4 linked regions of the Drosophila melanogaster genome follow. The protein of the gene in region 1 interacts with the protein of each later gene in a pairwise test. Each region holds a gene or a part of one and is shown on either strand. Other genes may lie near its edges.

Region 1 (4,195 bases):
AACTGCTCTACGACGCCGGTCTCACCGGTAAGATACCTTTTTTTCTGAGATTTACAAATACGATTTACGATATAATAATAGAGATTGAATAAATCAAAATAAAACCATTTTTTTCAAGATCGCCAGCTATGGATGCATGCCATAAGTCGCCTGTTAATCTTTGTTGGAATTCCATTGGCGGTCTACTTGGGAGTCTTCTATATCCACTTCAAGACGCTGCACCGGGCTGGACCGCATGATAGCATCATGACTAGCGCGTTTCAGGCCTCGTTAGATGGAGGATTGGCATCGATCACAAAAGGACAGCCATTGGCAGTGGTTCATGGATCCCAAATCACACTACGACACACCCACGGACGCACCTGTTGGCTGCACTCGCATGCAGCTGTCTATCCGGTGCGGTATCCGGACAAGAGAGGCTCCTCCCACCAGCAGCAGGTCACCTGCTACTCCTTCAAGGATGTGAACAACTGGTGGCTGGTTAAGCGACCAACAAAGGAGAACCTGGTGGTGGGTGATGAGCCGGATATCATTCGGCACGGTGAAATTATTCAGTTGGTCCATGGAATTACGAGCCGAGCTCTGAACTCACACGATGTGGCTGCGGCAATGACGCCGCAGTGCCAAGAAGTCAGCTGCTACATAGATTACGAGATCAAAATGGCCGGTGAACTGTTGTGGCGCGTGGAGATTCTGAATCGCGATTCCGAAGGTGACATTTGGCATGCCATCAAGTCGGAGGTCCGCCTCGTTCACGTGTCCACAGAAGCCTCCTTGAAGTTCAGTGGGCGCCAACTTCCCGAATGGGGTTTCAATCAGCACGAGGTGGTGGCGGATCGTGAAAAGGCAATACATGAGGATGCCATTTGGAATGTTGAGGAGCACCGCTATACACAGAGTAAGTCCTCTTCGAGATACTTGAAGAAATACGTTATCCTCATTTACAACCCTTTATAGCTGAGGATCATCGGGAGCGAGAGCGCCAGATGCTAACTGCCGAGATGATACCCACAAAGCGGACGCGCATCTCGTTCTGGGCCAAGCTACTGGAGCTACAATCCAAGATGCTGTTCCAAACGAAGTCAGTGCCAAATCACATGTACAGCTCGATGCCGCACGAGTGGCCGCTAATGGACAAGGGCATCGCTTATTGGTTGGACTCACAGTCGAGTGCGCAGATCTATTTGCTGGGAAACATACTACTCTGGTACACAGCCACCATGGGAATACTTGTCTATGCCGGATTACTCGCCTTCTACGCGATGCGGCGGCAACGTCTTTGCTTTGATATTTCGGAGCAAGAGTGGCAGCGATTCGTATTAGCTGGTGACACCTTTTTTATGGGCTACGTGATGCACTATATTCCGTATTTTTGTGTGGATCGTACACTCTTCCTGCACAATTACTTGCCAGCCTTTGTGTTTAAGTTACTTTTATTGTGCTTTGTCGTGGAGCATTTGGACTATCTGCTCAGGCGCTTCTGCACCGGACGTGGTGTCCATCTGGTGCGCCTTTATCGCCTCATGCTAATCCTGTGGCTGGTGGGCGTGCTTAGCATTTTCTCAAAGTTTATACCATTCAGTTATGGTGCGAGAAAAATGACTTTAAATGAGGTTCGCAGTCTTCGATGGAAGGATACCTGGGACTTTGTCCTGCACAAGAACCACCACCTGTACTGAAAAAACAGATGCCATCTCCGCGGCCAGAGAGAGACGTGCAATGATGTACTAGTACCATGTACAATAGACTAGACGACTAGCTAAAGTTGAACTAATACTAAGCCATAAATTATTTGACATGTAAACATACTCATTTACAAGACCAATAAATACAATTATTTATTTATTTAAGATGTTCTGCTTTATCACTCAGTAATATGTATAAGCACTCTGAAAACACTTGAACCCACACTATATACATAAATACACTCATAAACATGGCCAATAAGGGACACTTTATAGACAGAAATGCAAATATACCGACTGCAGGATTGTCCACCAGTGGATTAGATGGAGCGGAAGGTGTAAAAGTTTGTCTTAGTATTAGCAATCCAGAAGAATTGGCTGAGAGTCTAGTTAGGCGCAATTACGGGCAGATCAATAAAAAATCCCAGAAGTTCCCAGCCGGTTCCGTTCAACCCAGCAGCAGCATCCGGGATTTGCTCACCAGCGAGTTGCAAAAGTCGCGCTTTATGTCCTTCAAGGAGAAGTTCTACGAGGAAATGTACTTCAAAAAGGCCACTTTGGGTGGGGTCAAGAAAACGTACTCCAAACCGGAAGACGTGACCAATATAAGCCAAACCTTCGGAAGTCCATCGAGTCAATCACAAAATGAATGTCTCTACGACGTCATATTGCCGGCCAAGTCGGCGGAGCAAGTTAATAAGGAGTACGAGGCTTTCCACGACAAGTACATCATCAGCCACAATCACTACTTTCCTTCGGAGCAGGTTAACCGCAGGTCAAGCTATTGGTCACTACAAATGCAATGGTGCATATTTAATGAACGTCTTAAATATTTTTTAGATATGCCCAACCATTTGATCGAAAATCACCTTGTGGAGATATACATACTCACGGCGATTTTGGACTGAAAGTGAAGCGATGTCTGGAGGAAGGTGAGAACCACCTGAAGGTTATTGGCAAGGCGCAAGTGGACTTTATGGATCGAAACGAGGCACCCCTCGGAATGCGAAACAAAAAGTAAGTATAGATAGATATAGATTTTGATTAATAGTTTTAGACTGTCTGTAGGTACACTTTTGCGGTGCCCGACATAACTTTCGGTGTTCCTCTGCGCAGCAATGGCGATGTGAAGATGCTGCTAAATAATATTGAACCCTGCTACAAAACCAACCGGCTACTAGATGCCATACGCTATTTGAACAAAAAACGTCATAGTTTGAGGAACCAGCTGGAATTTCACAAGTACGCACTAAATTCAGTGCTGGAGAGGAGTGACACGGATGGAACGGGTCACTTGCCACTGGCACGCATCTTGGAAATTTTCAGAAGTTTTCACATCCGTCTGGATGCGCAAAAAATCCGTCTGGCCTTGTCCAATTTTCGGCTGATTGTGGACGAGGGCTGTGCCACGGAGCGGGTGAATTATGTAGATTTCTTTCGACTTCTCTCGATTCAGAATTCTCTGCCGAAAACGGGAAACTTGACCAATGTATCCGATGTTAGTTGTCTGGACACCACATATCGTTTGCTCTGCGCCGATCTTCAAAACAAGTCAAAGGATAATACGGGAGCAATTAGCCAGAATCTCGAAGGGAATAAAACAACTGCCAAGGATCTTATAACACCGGATTTGGCCATTTTACGTGGCCTTACTCACAGTGATTTCACCTGTTTGCGGCCCAAAGCGGAAATCGAACGTATCTTTAGAAGTCTCGTAACAACTGATAAATTCGAAGCTATTTGGCAGAGTCTAATGACTAAGTTCAAGGACCAAAATGAAATGGCATCCGTCACGCAGTTTCGTACTGAAATGCACAACAAAATAGAGGCCATATCTACATAATACTTAGACAATTTACCATGACAAACAAATATATAATAAACAAAAATAAACTATAGCATAAGTTTGGGCTGTCATTTGTGTGAAGCAAATATTTGCTACAGCATTAAACTTTCAAAGCTGGTGTCTTACGACCAAATATTTAAATTTCTGTGATCAGTTAGGAAATCAAATTAATACTAGTTTTCTAAATCCGGAAATTACTGGAGAACTATAAATGGGGTGACTTCAACATCAGTTGATCACAACAGCCCTTCGCCGCTTTTAAGCCAAGTCTAATATCAATTGCTTTGCCAGCTAACCAACATAACCAACAATAACATCAAAGATGAAATACCTGTTCGTGGTTGCCCTTATTGCCCTGGCCATCCAGGTGGCTTCATCTTCTAGTAATACAACAACAACTGATGCCACCACCACAACAACAACCACCACTGCAGCATCGACCACAACAACAACAACGGCCGCTTCCACTCACAAAAAGCTTTGTTGGAGGGGCAACAACTGGTGCCACACCCGCATTCCCAAGCGGAAGTGCAAGAACCCAAAGAGGTGCCACAAGACCATCGTGATTGTGACCCACAGGAAAAATTAAGCTGCACTAGTAGTTTTTGAAATAAAGAAATTCTTTTTAAAAGAATTTTGCCTAATATTTTCATTTTATCTATAA
Region 2 (4,522 bases), on another chromosome or scaffold:
TCTGACCATCCATGTGCTGAACACCAGCGCCTTCGATAACTACAGGTGTCGCGCCAGGAACGATCTGGGCACCATCGAGAGGACCACGCGACTGGAGCAGGGCGAGAAGCCTCCGTCACCGGCCAACTTCCAGCTGCGTGGCTTCAATTCAAACACCTTCGATGTGGTACTGAGTGCTCCACGAGGTCCTCCCGACAGTCCCATGGGGGTCAATGGATTCCGCATCGAGTACATGACCGAAATGGAGTTCAAGACGGATGCGGGCAAGTGGACCAATGCCAGGCGGAAGGATTATGCTTTCGAGGAGGGTGAGTTAAGCTTTAAAATATAGATAAAAGCTATCTCTTGCTACATTCGATATGTAAACTCATGGATTCTATAAATTTTAGGGGCTACCTTCCTTCTGACGAACTTAGAGCCAGATACCGTTTACCTGGTGCGGGCCGCATCACGGAATCTGGCCGGATTCAGTGACTTCACCAAGGTGGAGAAGTACAAGACACTTTCGCTGGAGCCCCGAGTCTCTTCGGGAGTCAAGGAGACCAGAAATATGTGCGTGGAACTGGGTGTGATGACACTAATGGTCCTGATGCGGCCGTTCCTGGGATGAATCTGAATCTGCAGGCGGATGAAGGATGACAGGTGATGCACCTAGCGGAACCGGAAACCAGGACCTTAAACCCCATGTGCTTTGTATAGCTATAAGGCGTGTCCACACGGCGACACTTTTCTGTCTGATTTGCTCGGTCTAAGTAATTTGGTTTACTCTTAAGTTCAGTGCGTTAATGTAACCTTAAAGAATGTTAAGTTTAGTAAGAATTTCTATTACGCTTTCAGTGCTTCGATTTGAATGATATTAGTGGATCACTTATAGGATATTTATATGTATTTAAACAAATCCTCATAGCAGTTAGACATAATCAATGGTTTGCTGGCCTTGGCTCCCCAAAATTATGCAAAACTAAAGCTTTGCTCAACATTCCAGTATATATTTTAACGTGAATTGGAAGTTTTCCCTGCAACTTTGCATCTCGTTGCCAAATCTTTAAGATATAATCAGACAGTTGCCAAAACTAAAAAAGTACATTAGTTTAGTATATACAAACAAATGCCTTCCGTCATTCGATATAACTAACAATCTTTTCAACTAAACTACATAAATATATAAAGTTTTGGAATACCATTAAACGCATCAAACAATTAATATAAATATCAAGGAGCTTAACGACAGCATTTAAAAGTTTTATATGTCACATAATTCTTTTTAATAGTCAAAGGCCAATAAAAACAATTCCACGTGTAAATTTCCAGGGCTAAAAAATACAGAATAAAATATAGATGTAAAAATAAGTTTAAACACTTTGCCACAATACAAATATTATGCAAACGAGAGAAAAACAAACACATATTTTACAAAAGTTATTTATATTCAATAAAATTAAATGTATTTCAGCTAAAGTGGTGTAAAATCTAAACCATAATACCTAGCCAAAGATTTAATATTTTCCAACTTTCGTTTGCCAATTGTGTGTGAGCCATAATAAAAGTTATGAATATCAAACCAGAACCGTTTGTGCTTCGATTTATTGATGTATAAATCAGTAAGTAAATAGAATATAAATATTTTAGTAAAAAAAATGCCTATTAGTTGGCGTAGCTTTTAGTGTTAATTTCTAATATTCGGCTCAAAAATTATATACAAAAAGTACAAAGCATAAAAATGTTGCAAGATGGAAAAACGAGCTCATTATTTTAGTCAGAACTCGAACCAGCCGCTAAATGCAGACTTTAATTTAGAAGATCAAATTATGAGGAATTCACAAAAAATATATAGGTTTAGCTCAGATCCGGGTGAGTAAAGCTTGCTAATAATGAATACATAAAATTAAAATTTTTATTTAGAATACAATAGAGTATATCAGCGGTATATGGCAACCCTCATCCGTGTGCAAAATTCCATGCATAGAAGATTTCAATCCAGGACCACTCTAAAATTGCAGGGCTCACATAGCCGCCTCTCAGCTGGCGGATTCTGTACGAAATTCAATAAATCCGGAAAGGAGAAAAAAAATAAACACAACCAAAGCCACGACCAGCAAAATGATACCTGTAAGCCTTCTTGCTCGAAGCCAACTGATTGCGCCACAAATGATGAACCTTCCTGCCGGGGCAATAAAAGTGCATCCGATAAAAGCCTGAAAATCACCCGCTGTTCCATACCGGAACCCAATAAGTCCCCACGCAGCGATGGACACGAGAACCAGCGTCAGAGCTGTGTGTCCTTTGAAGAGCCCGCGGCCAAGGATATTCCCACATTTGATCTGCACTTCCGGGACACCTCATGTACGGTGTCCCATGATTCCAGCCTGTCCTCCATCAACGTTTGCTATAGCCAAGAGCAACAGAGGGATATTACAAAATCTTGTCCCGCTCAAACGCCGAAAGAGCCAGCCCCTCAACGGATGAAGGAGTCGTCCAGGAATCAAACAGCTTCACGATTTTGCATGAGACCGTTGATTGTGGTGCCCACAGGTGGAGGAATTAAACAATTAAAGAAGGATCAATCTGAGAATTCCAAAATAGTTAGCACAGATCACTCCAAGTCGAAGTCTGCACACCACACGAATAGTTCTCGAAAATCCACAAAGAAGCAAGCAAAGAGTCACCGCCTTATTAAGTCTCACAGCTCTAAAGATTCTTTAGCAAATCGTGGTCAGCCTACAGTGGAAATTGAAGAAACTTTTCCAAATTCAATCTGCACTTCCGATACCCACGAATCCTGTGACTGCAAGAGCGAAGACCAATTTTGCTGTTACTATATACCAGAGGAGCCCCATTGCTCGCAGAATCCACCGCCATGTTCCAACTGCCCGGCTATATGCGACTTATCCAACCAATTGGAGGAGATGAATCGACGTTTGGAGGGCCTTCACAGCCAGGAACTCTGCGATATCCGCACGCAGGTGAATAGCCTCAATGCCAATGTTCAGCATTTGGCCAAAGAGTGCATTCAGAAAATGGATGGCGCCAAAAGGCTGGACAAGAAGACCTCGAGCACCTGTCAGTTCTGTCATGGGCAGTGTTTGAAAATACTTGATAGCTTCTATAGGCAACTGCTGGACTCACTTTGGGATCGTTCCCTGACAGACATAGTAATATCCATATTTCTGCGAGCAGACAATGTCTATCACGTAAATGTGCGGGATCTGAGCTCGGACTGTTCCCTTGGTTGTTACCTGGTCACTGATGCGGCCATAGAGGAGGCCATCGAGTTGGGAGTTTTTCAGAACATACTCACATTTAGTGTAATTGATGTGCGGAATACCATCAAGTCGAAGAACTGCGACTTGGGCATCGTCTTTGAATACCATCATTCAAAGCGGCAGACCGGTGGTTGCGATTCTCCACTTCGTGGCTCCTGCATGGTGGGCAAGGAATATATCGGCAGGGTTCTCGGACTTCCTTTGGAGCAGCTGAAATACCTGTACTCCGTTCCGCGATCCTATACCAAAATCACTGAGCACGACACTAGGAGTGTAACTGGAAGTCAGTTACACTCAGTTTCCACTCAAACGACTTTGATGGATATGCAGACAGAAATGAAGATAAGATATAAGAAAAGTGCCCGTACAAAACTACCATCAGTTTGAAAGATATCAGTTTTAATAATATATAGCAAAAGTTATAGTTAAGCCAACTTACAACGTATTTCTAAAATTTTGTAATAAAAGACCTTATAATTTTAAAAGCCAGCATAGATCAAAGGAAATTCTGATTAGTTTCAATAAAGCTAACCGTACAGGTTGCACTGCCATTTGCACAACCGACGGACCGCATGGCAAATGGTTCATTTGTTCAACGGGCGCGGTTTGTCAATCAGCCACATCAACTGGGGCTCAACTAAGGACCCGCATATGCGCTTTTGGCCGGAATGCCTTTTTGGGGGGGCTTTTTGGGGCAAGGAATAGGAGCACTGCGTTGACAGCCGCATAAATCAGTTGAATGCCAAACGTCGGATTCGGATGCAGATGCGGATGCTGTTGCGTATGCGGATATGCATTGCGACTGGGCGCCATATTGTGCGTGGTGACTTTTATTGCCCGACCGCGCGTTAAATATTTTTCTGTCTACACACATGGACATGGATGCTCCGCTCATCATTGACATTTACCATTGGCCATCGTCATTCGCATCACAATGAGCAGCAATGAGCGTGGCCGTTATTTGGGTGCGGTTCAAAACAATCAGCCCGGCTATTTAATTTCCAAATGAGAGGAGCATTATTCGGCACAGCATGAGTTCAAATCACTTGCCCCATGTGCCCGCCAGCTTTCAATATCAACACTTTAAGTCAACGATTTGAGCGACGACAGCTGAATCAGCAGCGAAGAGAAGAGGACAAATAAATACTGCGAAAAAAAATGCAGAATTCGGCCATTTTAGGCCTGCAACCGCCAATCCGCCAATTCACCAATCCACCGGCAAGTGGGTCAGTTTCGCACGGGCTTTTAGAGCAAATCAA
Region 3 (4,004 bases), on another chromosome or scaffold:
GCGATAGTATCGATAGTCCGATAATGGGCGTGTTAGGGATGTCTTGGTTTCGATATTGCTCGGTACCACTGATTTCGAAAAGAAGCTATTCACACACACGAGCTTCTGCACCAGCGACAAGCTTCCGCAGCACTGGCTTTATCTTTTATAAAAAGATATATATTGGTATACCAGTCAAAATAAACGTATATCTAAACATGTATTTTATGAAAGTTATGTTTTTTGAATGCAATTAGTAAGATGCAAAGAAATAGTTAGTAGTCAATTTGATATAAAATTTCAATTACAGATAACATTTATAGTATTTTTGATTGGACTGCATAAACACTTTCGCGGCAATTATGAAGCGGTTATTAGGCCGAGCTTTCAAAATAATATTAAACCAAATTGAAACAGCAGATGCGCATTCTGTGAGAATATCCTTTCAATCGAGGTTTCCAATCGAGCAAAACAACGAACTGGCAGCACAGGCGACGGTCTGGCATCTTCGCTAGCCTAAATGATACACGTCACGTAGACACAACGGCGCTTAATTTTAAATAATTTATTTTTGGAAGCCAAAAATAAACTTGACCGTCTTAGAATTACAATTTGGAACTATGCCACTGACTAGGAATCGCCACCGCCCCGTGCCTGAGCGTCAATTAGGCAGAAATGCTCCCTATCCGTAGACTTAAGGACATGCTTTGGTAGATATCGAAGCACGGAGGAAGGAACCTGGCTCAACATGGCCAAACGCTCCTGTTTGATGCGTTCCTCTTGCTCGGCATCGATCTTGGCCTTCATGTCAAAGTACTGAACATTTTCAGCGGTGGCCTCCGCCCGCTTCCGGTGATTATCCTCAATCATAGCAAGCAAGGAGGCTCCATGGGCCCGGCGTCTGCGATATTCATCCAGTTGCTTTTCGGAATTCTGGTTGATTGTATCCGGCGCCTCCTCCTGCCGCGTAGCCATCTCCGCCCGCTTCATCTGCATTTCGGCCATCTTACGATGCTTCACCTCCTGTCGATAGCGATCCAACTCCTGTCTGGTGCGCTGGCGAGACATCTGCTCCTGCTGCATCTGTTGGCGATAGCGCTCGTCACTCTTGGCCGTGTACTCCGCCTCCAACAGATCCAGCAGCAGATTGTCGCGATGCCGTTTTTTGTTCTGCAATAAGAGTTAGCTTTATTGATTGAATCGAAAAACCGCTTCAAGACTTACTTCGATTTCTAGGACTTGCTGGCCCAAACGAATGCTGATTTCTTGTTTTTTGCGTTGAATCTCCTGGCGTTCAGCCTCCAGCTGGAGTTTCCTGCGCTCCATGTCACTTTGCTTCTGGACTAAGTCACTCAACTCCTGGTTGTATTGAGCTCGCTGCCATTCTCTGAGTTCCTGGTTCTCCTTGATGGACCGCAGCATGTCCTGTCGCTTTTGTAGTTTTTTTCTCTGCGCCTCCAGCTCCTGGGCTCGATCCTCTTCCTGGATTTGCTTCTGCATCAGAAGGCTCAGCTCCCGGTCATTCATCACCTGAGCGTGCTCTTGCAGGCGCCGTCGGCGGTTCTCCTCCATTTGTTCAGCCAAGGACTCCCTAAGGCGGCGTTGTTCCTCCTTAAGAGCCACTTCCTTCTCACGTTGCCTGACCTCCAGCAGACAGCGCTCTTGGGACACTTCCGCGGCTTCCAATTTGATGTCTAGCTGTCGACGACGTTTTTTCTCCTCCAAATTCTCGGCTATATCCCTGGAAATGGCGGCTAGGCGCAGCTGCTCCGCCAAGTCGCGCAGTTCCTCGCAATCCCGCCGCAATTGCTGGCGACGTTTCCTCTCCACAAACTCCGCACGCTTAAGATCTTGCATTTCCTGCGTCATCGCTGCCTCCTCGATGAAGTCGCGGGTTATGGGACTCACTTTGGAAAGCTCCTGGCTGCGGCTCACCTCCTCCAGGTCGTACTGCAATTTTCGGAACAGCTGTGAGCTGAAAAAGTCGTGCTCCTTGCGCAATGAATGAGGCACCTGGAATAGCGGCTGTCCGATGTTGATAGTGCCACCTTCCTTGTGGTTACCACGATTTCTACCGGTTGCCATGGTGGTCAAAACAATGCAAACAGAAATGGAAACGAGAAACAAAATAAAAAAAAAAAAACCAATATTTATCGACTGGCTACTATGAAAACATTCAATGAACAAATTGTAGTATTTGATTTTATATTTACATTCTTAATTGTGGAGCTATTATGAGCAATATACATTTGGTCGCAATATATGTATGTACATACAAGCAATTAAATTCAGGTCCTTTGTCAATATTTTCGGTGAATGGCAAAAACGATCTTAAAATCACCATTCACTACGAAAGTTTTACTATAAAAGCAATTTAAAATTTAAAATTGTTGGTCATTAGATGACTATATATATTTTTATATATTTTTTTTCAAAATCATAGTTAACAAATTGAATTGATAATGAAGGCGAAAATGTTAAATGCGAAATGTTCTCAGTTGTTGAAGGCAGTCGGGAAATACTTCTTGTCCTTCTCCACGATGCTCTCCAGAAGATCGTCGATGTCAGTGTTGGGGTAGCGCTCCACCCATGACTGGATGTACCCCTCGTGGGTGGGCTCGTAGGTCTTCAGCTGGACCTTTTGGTCCTGGCCGATCGCCGTGTTGGCCTGGACGAGAATCATACGCGGCTTCTTGTGCGCCAGGCAGATATCCCGCCACTTGGCCCACGGATGCGATCCGCTCTCGTCGACCTTCGAGTAGTGTTCGTACATCTTGGAAGCTGCCTCGATGTCGGCGGTGGATTTGTACACCTGCAGCTTGGTCAGGAAATCGCCCAGCGCCTTCCTGCCCACGGTATCGATCTTGCTGCGATCCACCGTCAGCAAAAGGTTTTTACCCTTTTCGGTTTCCTCGACCTTAACGAGTCCTTCGCCTGCCTCCAGCAGCACCTTCATGATCACGAAACGAGCGCGAGAGTGCGCCTGGAGCCACAGCTTGGACTTCGGGTTGAACATTTCCAGAGCCACACCCATGCCGTTCCAGATGAGACTCAGCCAGTTGACATAGATGATGTTGTCCTGCTCGGCTTTGTCCTTGAAGCCAAAGATCTCCAGGATGTCACGCTGCAGGGAGAGATACAAGCCCACCGCCTCGGCGCGGCATTCCTCGTACGAGGAACCAATTGCTCCGAACTTGGTGTCGTAAGTTTCTCCAGGAAGATACCACTTGGTGATGGGTTCACCGGTGACCAGGTTCTTAGTGTTCTCCTTGTCAAAGTTGTACACACCATTTTCGTCGATGCGGAATAGCTTGCCACTACCATGGCCTAGGAGTTCATGGAGGCCCACTTGCACCTCAAAAGCCTTCACCTTGTACTCTTTCATCAGAGTTTGATCCTCCTCGGTGAGGAAAGGAATGGGATCCTTGCGGTTGATGTTGGCCAGCACATTGCCCAGCGAGACGTTCTTGAAGCCTTCATCCTGGCGGATTTCGTCGTAATTGGGAATATTGATGCCCGCTGGTACTCCGCTGCCGGCAAATGTGAGGACATCCAGGGATGTGAAGTCTGGCTTCAGGTAAGAGTCCTTCTCGTAAGGCTCCGTCCAGGGCAGGTACTCTATTAGTTTCTCGGCGCGGTTCACCAGCTCGGAGAATTTGGCCGAGCTCTCCTTGTTCACCATGGCCACGAAGCCCTCGAATTCAGCCCGACCTCCAGCAGGATCCCTGTATGTCTCAATGAAACCAATGTAGGTCTCGATGACAGGTCCCTTGTCCTTGATCCACCAACGCGATCCGTTCTTGTGCTCGTCCAGCGAGCCCTGTTCAAAGGATCGGACATAGTGCTCGATCATCTTGGACTCGTTTTCATTGGCTGCGTATTTCTGGGCCTGCAGCAGATGCTGGTTGACGCGCTGAAGCAGCTTCTGGTAATCACCGCGTGTCACCCTAAACTTGTTGCCATTATACTCTTCCAGCGGAAGTGTGATGCCGTCCTGCGTGGACTCCGCCACGGAGCCCAGCTTT
Region 4 (6,172 bases), on another chromosome or scaffold:
AGTAAATTGCAAATTGTAAATTGCTTTTGCCATAAAGGCGGAAATGCCTCTCTCAACAACAAAAAAACTCGCATTCAAATAGTGCAACAAAAAACTAAAAACAAATAAGCCGAAATCGACAACAAAAAATAAGGCTAAACAGGTGAAGAAGAAAACTAAAAGCCACAGAAATAACAAAAACCGATAAACCAAAATTTAAAACCAGCACAAAAAATAGCCCCAAAACTTAAGATATACAATTGTGTTCGAAATCGTAGTAAAGCTATTTGAAGCGCCACAAAAATTTACATTTTTTGTAAACATTTTTAAGCATCGACTATTATTTTGGGTACAACTGTAGCAGATAAACAACAGCCCGCAAAAAACCCTAATTATCAAGCTTAGACAAAAACTACAAAAAAAGCGAAAAAATCACACAAAAAATGTAAATTACTGGCCTATGAATTTAATTAATTTTTTGCAACTCTGTAGGTTTTTTCCCCTCTTTTTTCATTTTTATCTTGGCGATTAGTTGGCAGCAACAATTACAATAAGCGAAGAAAAAGCGCCAATCGTTTCCTGAGCGAAAAACAATTGTTTACAATAATTGCATGCGATTATTATTTATGTCAATTTCGAATATTCAGCTGGCAAAGTCAACAAACCCGGAAACCTTCGGCGAGAACAACGGAATTTTTATCGTAATATTTTGTTCGCCTTTTTGCATTCAACAAAAAAGAGCACGCACAAAACAAAACATGCAAAAAAAAAAAGAAGCACAAAATATATGATTGAAAAACAAAAACGATAAAAAACAAGGGGAGAGCGGCGAACAAAAACAGAAAATCGCACAAATAACACACAACTTTTGTTTGGCTAAAAATAAAACGACGTTCGTTTTGCGTGTCTTTTTAGCACATGAAATAAATAATTTGTTTTCTCACCTTTTCTTTATGACTTTTCGCGCTATCTTTTCTTTTGGCGTTTTTTTCCCCCCTCGAATTTCTTTTACTTTTCCTTTATGCTTTTTGTTTTGTTATTCGAATCGAATTGCACACGCAGCAGAATTGTGTCGAAAAAAATTCATTCATTCATTTAATTTCTGGCTTGCCATTTTTGTTTCATTTCTATATTTTGTTTTTTAACATAAAAAAAAATAATGCGAAACAGCGAATTCAAAACGCGCGCTTTTTCTTTTGCCTTGCGAGCGGATAACGGTAAATGCGCACAGCAATGTTTTAACATTAAACACTAACCACTAAATTGTCAGGAAATTCACCAAAAATAAATGTTCTGTTTTGGAATTGTTAAGAATGTTAGGCTCATGTGTTTGTTAATATTTTCCAGGAATTTTCTTTTAGCGGCGCAGCGAAGTGAAACGTACCGCGGAGGAGACGGATTTTTGAGTGAAAAGAATTGAACTTTCGTTGTTGCTTATATAGACTTTGGCTGGCAGCAATGTTGCTGGAGAGAGATGTTGCACTCTCCCAATCGGTTGGCAACTTAAACCGGTTCGCAGTACCAGCAATTTGGCGGGTACTTTAAATGCCTTAACGTTATCGCGCGTTTGATAACTACGTACATTTTAAGGGATTGAGAGAAACGCATATTATGATATAAAATAAAGTGTTAATATTAATTGAAGAGGCACACACGCTTAACATTTCCACAAATTGTAAATATTTATACAAGAATTGGTAGCTATCGCTAGCGTTGCCAGACGGCGCCAAAAGCTTCTAAATCCAGCGATCCAACTACCCAAACAGCTGATATCTGTTAGCCTGGTAAATGTTGTTTACCAACGTAACGCGTGTTTTCGCTTCGTTGTATTTTCGGTGTCGAATATTTTGGATGCTGGCCAAGAGATAGCGCAGCGATCGGGTCGGAACTCTTGGGCGGACTTATCACTGGGTCGGTCAGGGGTCACGGGTTATCGTTATCGCTTATCAGCCAGCGGCGGCGTCATCTCAGCGCCGGCGACTCTTCTCACTTTGCGGCAGTTCCGATTCGAACGCAGCCGTGTGAGTACTAATAATTACCAAGGATTGTTGAAAAACATCCACTAAAATCTATAAAATTCTGCTTATTACAGTTACAAAGACATGCAGCGGGCGCGCTCTACACTGACACAAAAGCTTCGGTTTTGCCTTAGTCGGGACCTGAACACCAAAGTTGGCAACCCGGTTAACTTCGAGACTGGAAAGCTTAGCGGAGCTTTAACTCGCATCGCCGCCAAAAAACAACCATCACCAACGCCATTCTTACCGGCGATCAGACGATATTCGGACTCCAAGCAGAGCACTTTGAAGGTGAGTTCGCCGGGAAAGTCCCAGGCAAAGTGAAGGGGAGGGTGGAAAAAGTGTGGCTAATTGAACCATTTGGGGGACTCGCATTTCGATTGCCTTTAATTCTTGCAGTGATCGCGGTGCTCAGAAAGTTTGTGTTTCGCTTCCATTTGCGGCTCCTGGCATGCCCGGCTAATCGCCATGTGCTTCATGCGTTTCATTCAGCCATGTGTTCCCACACTGCACTATCCCTACGTGGATGGCATGCCATCGATCCGCTGAAAGTGTTGTTTATAGTAGTATCATTGTTAAGTACCTATGTACATGTGTAGTTTAATTGAGATCTTATAGCATATGTACATATATGTACCGTATTTGTATCAGTGTACTGTTAGTGTATTCAAAACGTCGCCATGCGCCAAGTTTGAATCTTTTTGATTCACATTCGCTACCTCGGCCTGAAACTCGTTTTTGGGCCTACTCGAATTTCTCGGCTGTTTGCGCCCTATCGAGCATTGTTGTTGTCATTCTCGTTTGCACTTGTCTAAATATTTAAACTGATAACGCAAAAAAAAAAAAGAATCTGGCATTGGCCATTAAATCGAATTTCCCATTCGTGTGGGCAGATTTGTATATAAATATACATACATACATATGTATATGCATTTTGCACTCAACTTGTGGCCAGAAATTAGCATTCAATTTAGTGGGAATCACCAGTTTCCAGTTTTTGCAGCTAAAATTTTGCGTGTCCAATTCATTTCTGCGTTGAAAATAGAAGAATCTTCCAGGGATTATTAGTTAGCAGCTGGAAACGTTGAACAACAAAATGGTACTAGAGATACGTAATTTGCTGGAGGAAGCTACATACATATAAACTTGTCCATTTTCTGCCAATATTCTCCATTTCGACTATATACGTACGTTTCCCGATCTTTCCGAAGTGCGTCAGCTGCAAAGGGGGGGCAGTGTCCTTATCGTCGTCCGGCGACTTGAACTGGTGACCCAGACGGATGATAATCACTTGACGATAAGCGGATCGCAAATAGACGCGCTCTCCCATCCATGGGGGGTCGCATTTTCGATCATGGGCGTGTTATTGCACCCAAGTCACTTGGTTTCCCTGGTATTTGGCCAATCTAATCGTGGATCGGGAATAGGGAATCGGGGGAGCGCCTCTCGAGTGGTTGCCATGGTGCATCCAGGCGTAATCTTCGCCTTGGCGATAGCTGCGCCTTATCGCCGGAACTTTTCCAATGCTATTTGAACCCATTGAACCCGTATTTGTTTGTAACTTTTCGCAACCATCGGCGGCGGGAACATAAATATTATTTTTGTTTCGAAGCGTTATTAAAAACATGGCATAAAGCTGACCAGGCAGCCGTTCATTTTCCACGGTCCGCACATATTCAACGATCGTCTTGGCGAGCGCATCGCACATTGCACAGCATTCCAATTACTATATATATATATATATAATATACAATACTATATAAATCCGAACAGAATATGGCCGATCAGAAACTGCTGCAAACCCCGCTGGCACAGGGCGATCCGGAGCTGGCCGAGCTGATCAAGAAGGAGAAGGAGCGCCAGCGCGAAGGACTCGAGATGATCGCCAGTGAGAACTTCACCTCGGTGGCGGTTCTCGAGAGCCTGAGCTCCTGCCTGACCAACAAGTACTCCGAGGGATATCCCGGCAAGAGGTGGGTGCACATATAAGATTCCTCACGGATCTGCAAGAAGACATCATAGTCGGATCTTTAAATGATTCTATACTAGTTCTGATATCATACTTACTGGTAGAGATCACCTTATTGGCTCTATGGCATGTGAATCCCTGGTGATCCTGCTCTAATCCTGGTCATCGCTTTGACTTGCAGGTACTACGGTGGCAACGAGTACATCGACCGCATAGAGCTGCTCGCCCAGCAACGCGGACGCGAGCTGTTCAACCTGGACGATGAGAAGTGGGGCGTTAATGTGCAGCCTTATTCCGGATCCCCGGCCAATCTGGCTGTCTACACGGGCGTCTGCCGGCCCCACGATCGCATCATGGGCCTGGATCTGCCCGATGGCGGTCACTTGACGCACGGTTTCTTCACGCCCACCAAGAAGATATCGGCCACATCGATCTTCTTCGAGAGCATGCCGTACAAAGTGAACCCGGAGACGGGCATCATCGATTACGATAAGTTGGCGGAGGCGGCGAAGAATTTCCGGCCGCAGATCATCATTGCTGGCATATCGTGCTACTCCCGTCTGCTGGACTATGCGCGTTTCCGACAGATTTGCGATGATGTGGGCGCCTACCTGATGGCCGACATGGCCCATGTGGCGGGCATTGTGGCCGCGGGATTGATACCATCGCCGTTCGAATGGGCCGACATTGTGACCACCACCACGCACAAGACACTGCGAGGTCCGCGCGCCGGCGTGATCTTCTTCCGCAAGGGCGTGCGCAGCACCAAGGCCAATGGAGACAAGGTACTCTACGATCTGGAGGAGCGCATCAACCAGGCGGTGTTTCCATCACTCCAGGGTGGTCCGCACAACAACGCCGTGGCTGGCATTGCCACCGCCTTCAAGCAGGCCAAGAGTCCCGAATTCAAGGCCTACCAGACGCAGGTGCTCAAGAATGCCAAGGCCCTGTGCGATGGCCTCATTTCGCGAGGCTATCAGGTGGCCACCGGCGGCACCGACGTCCATTTGGTGCTGGTCGATGTGCGTAAGGCTGGCCTGACCGGCGCCAAGGCCGAGTACATCCTCGAGGAGGTGGGCATCGCGTGCAACAAGAACACTGTGCCCGGCGACAAGTCCGCCATGAATCCCTCCGGCATCCGGCTGGGCACACCGGCCCTGACCACTCGCGGCCTTGCCGAGCAGGACATCGAGCAGGTGGTGGCCTTCATCGATGCTGCCCTAAAGGTTGGCGTCCAGGCAGCCAAGCTGGCCGGCAGTCCCAAGATAACCGATTACCACAAGACGCTGGCCGAGAATGTGGAGCTCAAGGCCCAGGTGGACGAGATCCGCAAGAATGTGGCCCAGTTCAGCAGGAAATTCCCGCTGCCCGGCCTGGAGACCCTGTAGGTGCTGCCTGCTTTGTTTGTCCCTTTTTCTTTTGTTCGCCTTACGATTTACATCCTCGAAAAGTCCGCTTGTTAATATCATAAGTGGGAATTAGTAGTTAAGCCATTAAACGCATTTCAGTTTACATACCATAGCTATGGAGTTTTATTTTTGGAATGGAGTATCTAGTATTTACACGAAACAATGCTTTGTTATTCGAGATGAGTGGTTTGTTTCAGATGATGCAAGGGAATTCAATAAATGTATTTAAGTATCTTTGCAACAATTGCTAATCAATGGGCATAAGTATCCTTGGTAACTATGGTGTTAGTTTCCAAATGCCCTGCTTGCCTGCAATTCAACTCCTCTAAATGATAGCCAGCCATGAAGGCAGCAGTGGTCATGTGCAGATAGTTGGGCGTACTAAATGATACATTAATGGCATACCGCTGTCTCAGTGATCGCTGTACTCGATCTTGGTGAATCCCTTGGTCGAACAGCCCATTTCGCGATGAAAACGCGAGTTGTGTGTGGAGAGGGACCACTTTGTCTTGAAGCTCTTCATGCAGATGAAGCACTCGTGCTCCTTGCCCTGAATCTCCGAATGCCTGGAGGCGATGTGTCGCCGCAGCGCGTTCACCGACTTGAGCGGCCTGCCGCAGAAGCTGCAGTTCAGCGGTGCGAGGCCGGTATACTGGACGCTCTCCTCATCGCTGCCAGCCGGTGGCGCGGATGCAGTTGCTCCACTCTTGGACGACCTGGCAACCGTCACGGATCCTGGCTTCAAAGCGGCTGCAAGAGAGAGAGAGAGAGAGAGTTGGTTTTTAATGAGATCGTTG

What was found.
Region 2: the proteins of CG32086 (region 1) and CG15631 interact in a two-hybrid assay, tested with the Drosophila melanogaster proteins (one large-scale study listed by BioGRID).
Region 3: the proteins of CG32086 (region 1) and CG7352 interact in a two-hybrid assay, tested with the Drosophila melanogaster proteins (one large-scale study listed by BioGRID).
Region 4: the proteins of CG32086 (region 1) and Shmt interact in a two-hybrid assay, tested with the Drosophila melanogaster proteins (one large-scale study listed by BioGRID).

The regions. Positions count from the first base shown.
Region 1 is NT_037436.4:11,581,775-11,585,969, reverse strand, and holds CG32086 (uncharacterized protein), read left to right. Parts: upstream 1-1,905; 5' UTR 1,906-1,936; coding exon 1,937-2,460; intron 2,461-2,525; coding exon 2,526-2,702; intron 2,703-2,753; coding exon 2,754-3,528; 3' UTR 3,529-3,569; downstream 3,570-4,195. Other genes in the region: rt (rotated abdomen), read left to right, coding at 1-27, 119-898, 958-1,679; CG33269 (uncharacterized protein), read left to right, coding at 3,854-4,120.
Region 2 is NT_033779.5:4,731,635-4,736,156, reverse strand, and holds CG15631 (uncharacterized protein), read left to right. Parts: upstream 1-1,698; 5' UTR 1,699-1,730; coding exon 1,731-1,851; intron 1,852-1,902; coding exon 1,903-3,650; 3' UTR 3,651-3,744; downstream 3,745-4,522. Other genes in the region: fipi (factor of interpulse interval), read left to right, coding at 1-308, 390-610.
Region 3 is NT_033777.3:8,345,824-8,349,827, reverse strand, and holds CG7352 (uncharacterized protein), read right to left. Parts: upstream 2,110-4,004; 5' UTR 2,065-2,109; coding exon 1,204-2,064; intron 1,150-1,203; coding exon 610-1,149; 3' UTR 532-609; downstream 1-531. Other genes in the region: DppIII (dipeptidyl aminopeptidase III), read right to left, coding at 2,474-4,004.
Region 4 is NC_004354.4:5,912,379-5,918,550, reverse strand, and holds Shmt (serine hydroxymethyl transferase), read left to right. Parts: upstream 1-1,753; 5' UTR 1,754-2,000; intron 2,001-2,071; 5' UTR 2,072-2,081; coding exon 2,082-2,288; intron 2,289-3,253; exon of another isoform or gene 3,254-3,770; coding exon 3,771-3,970; exon of another isoform or gene 3,971-4,000; intron 4,001-4,064; exon of another isoform or gene 4,065-4,147; coding exon 4,148-5,354; 3' UTR 5,355-5,484; downstream 5,485-6,172. Other genes in the region: CG12236 (uncharacterized protein), read right to left, coding at 5,788-6,125.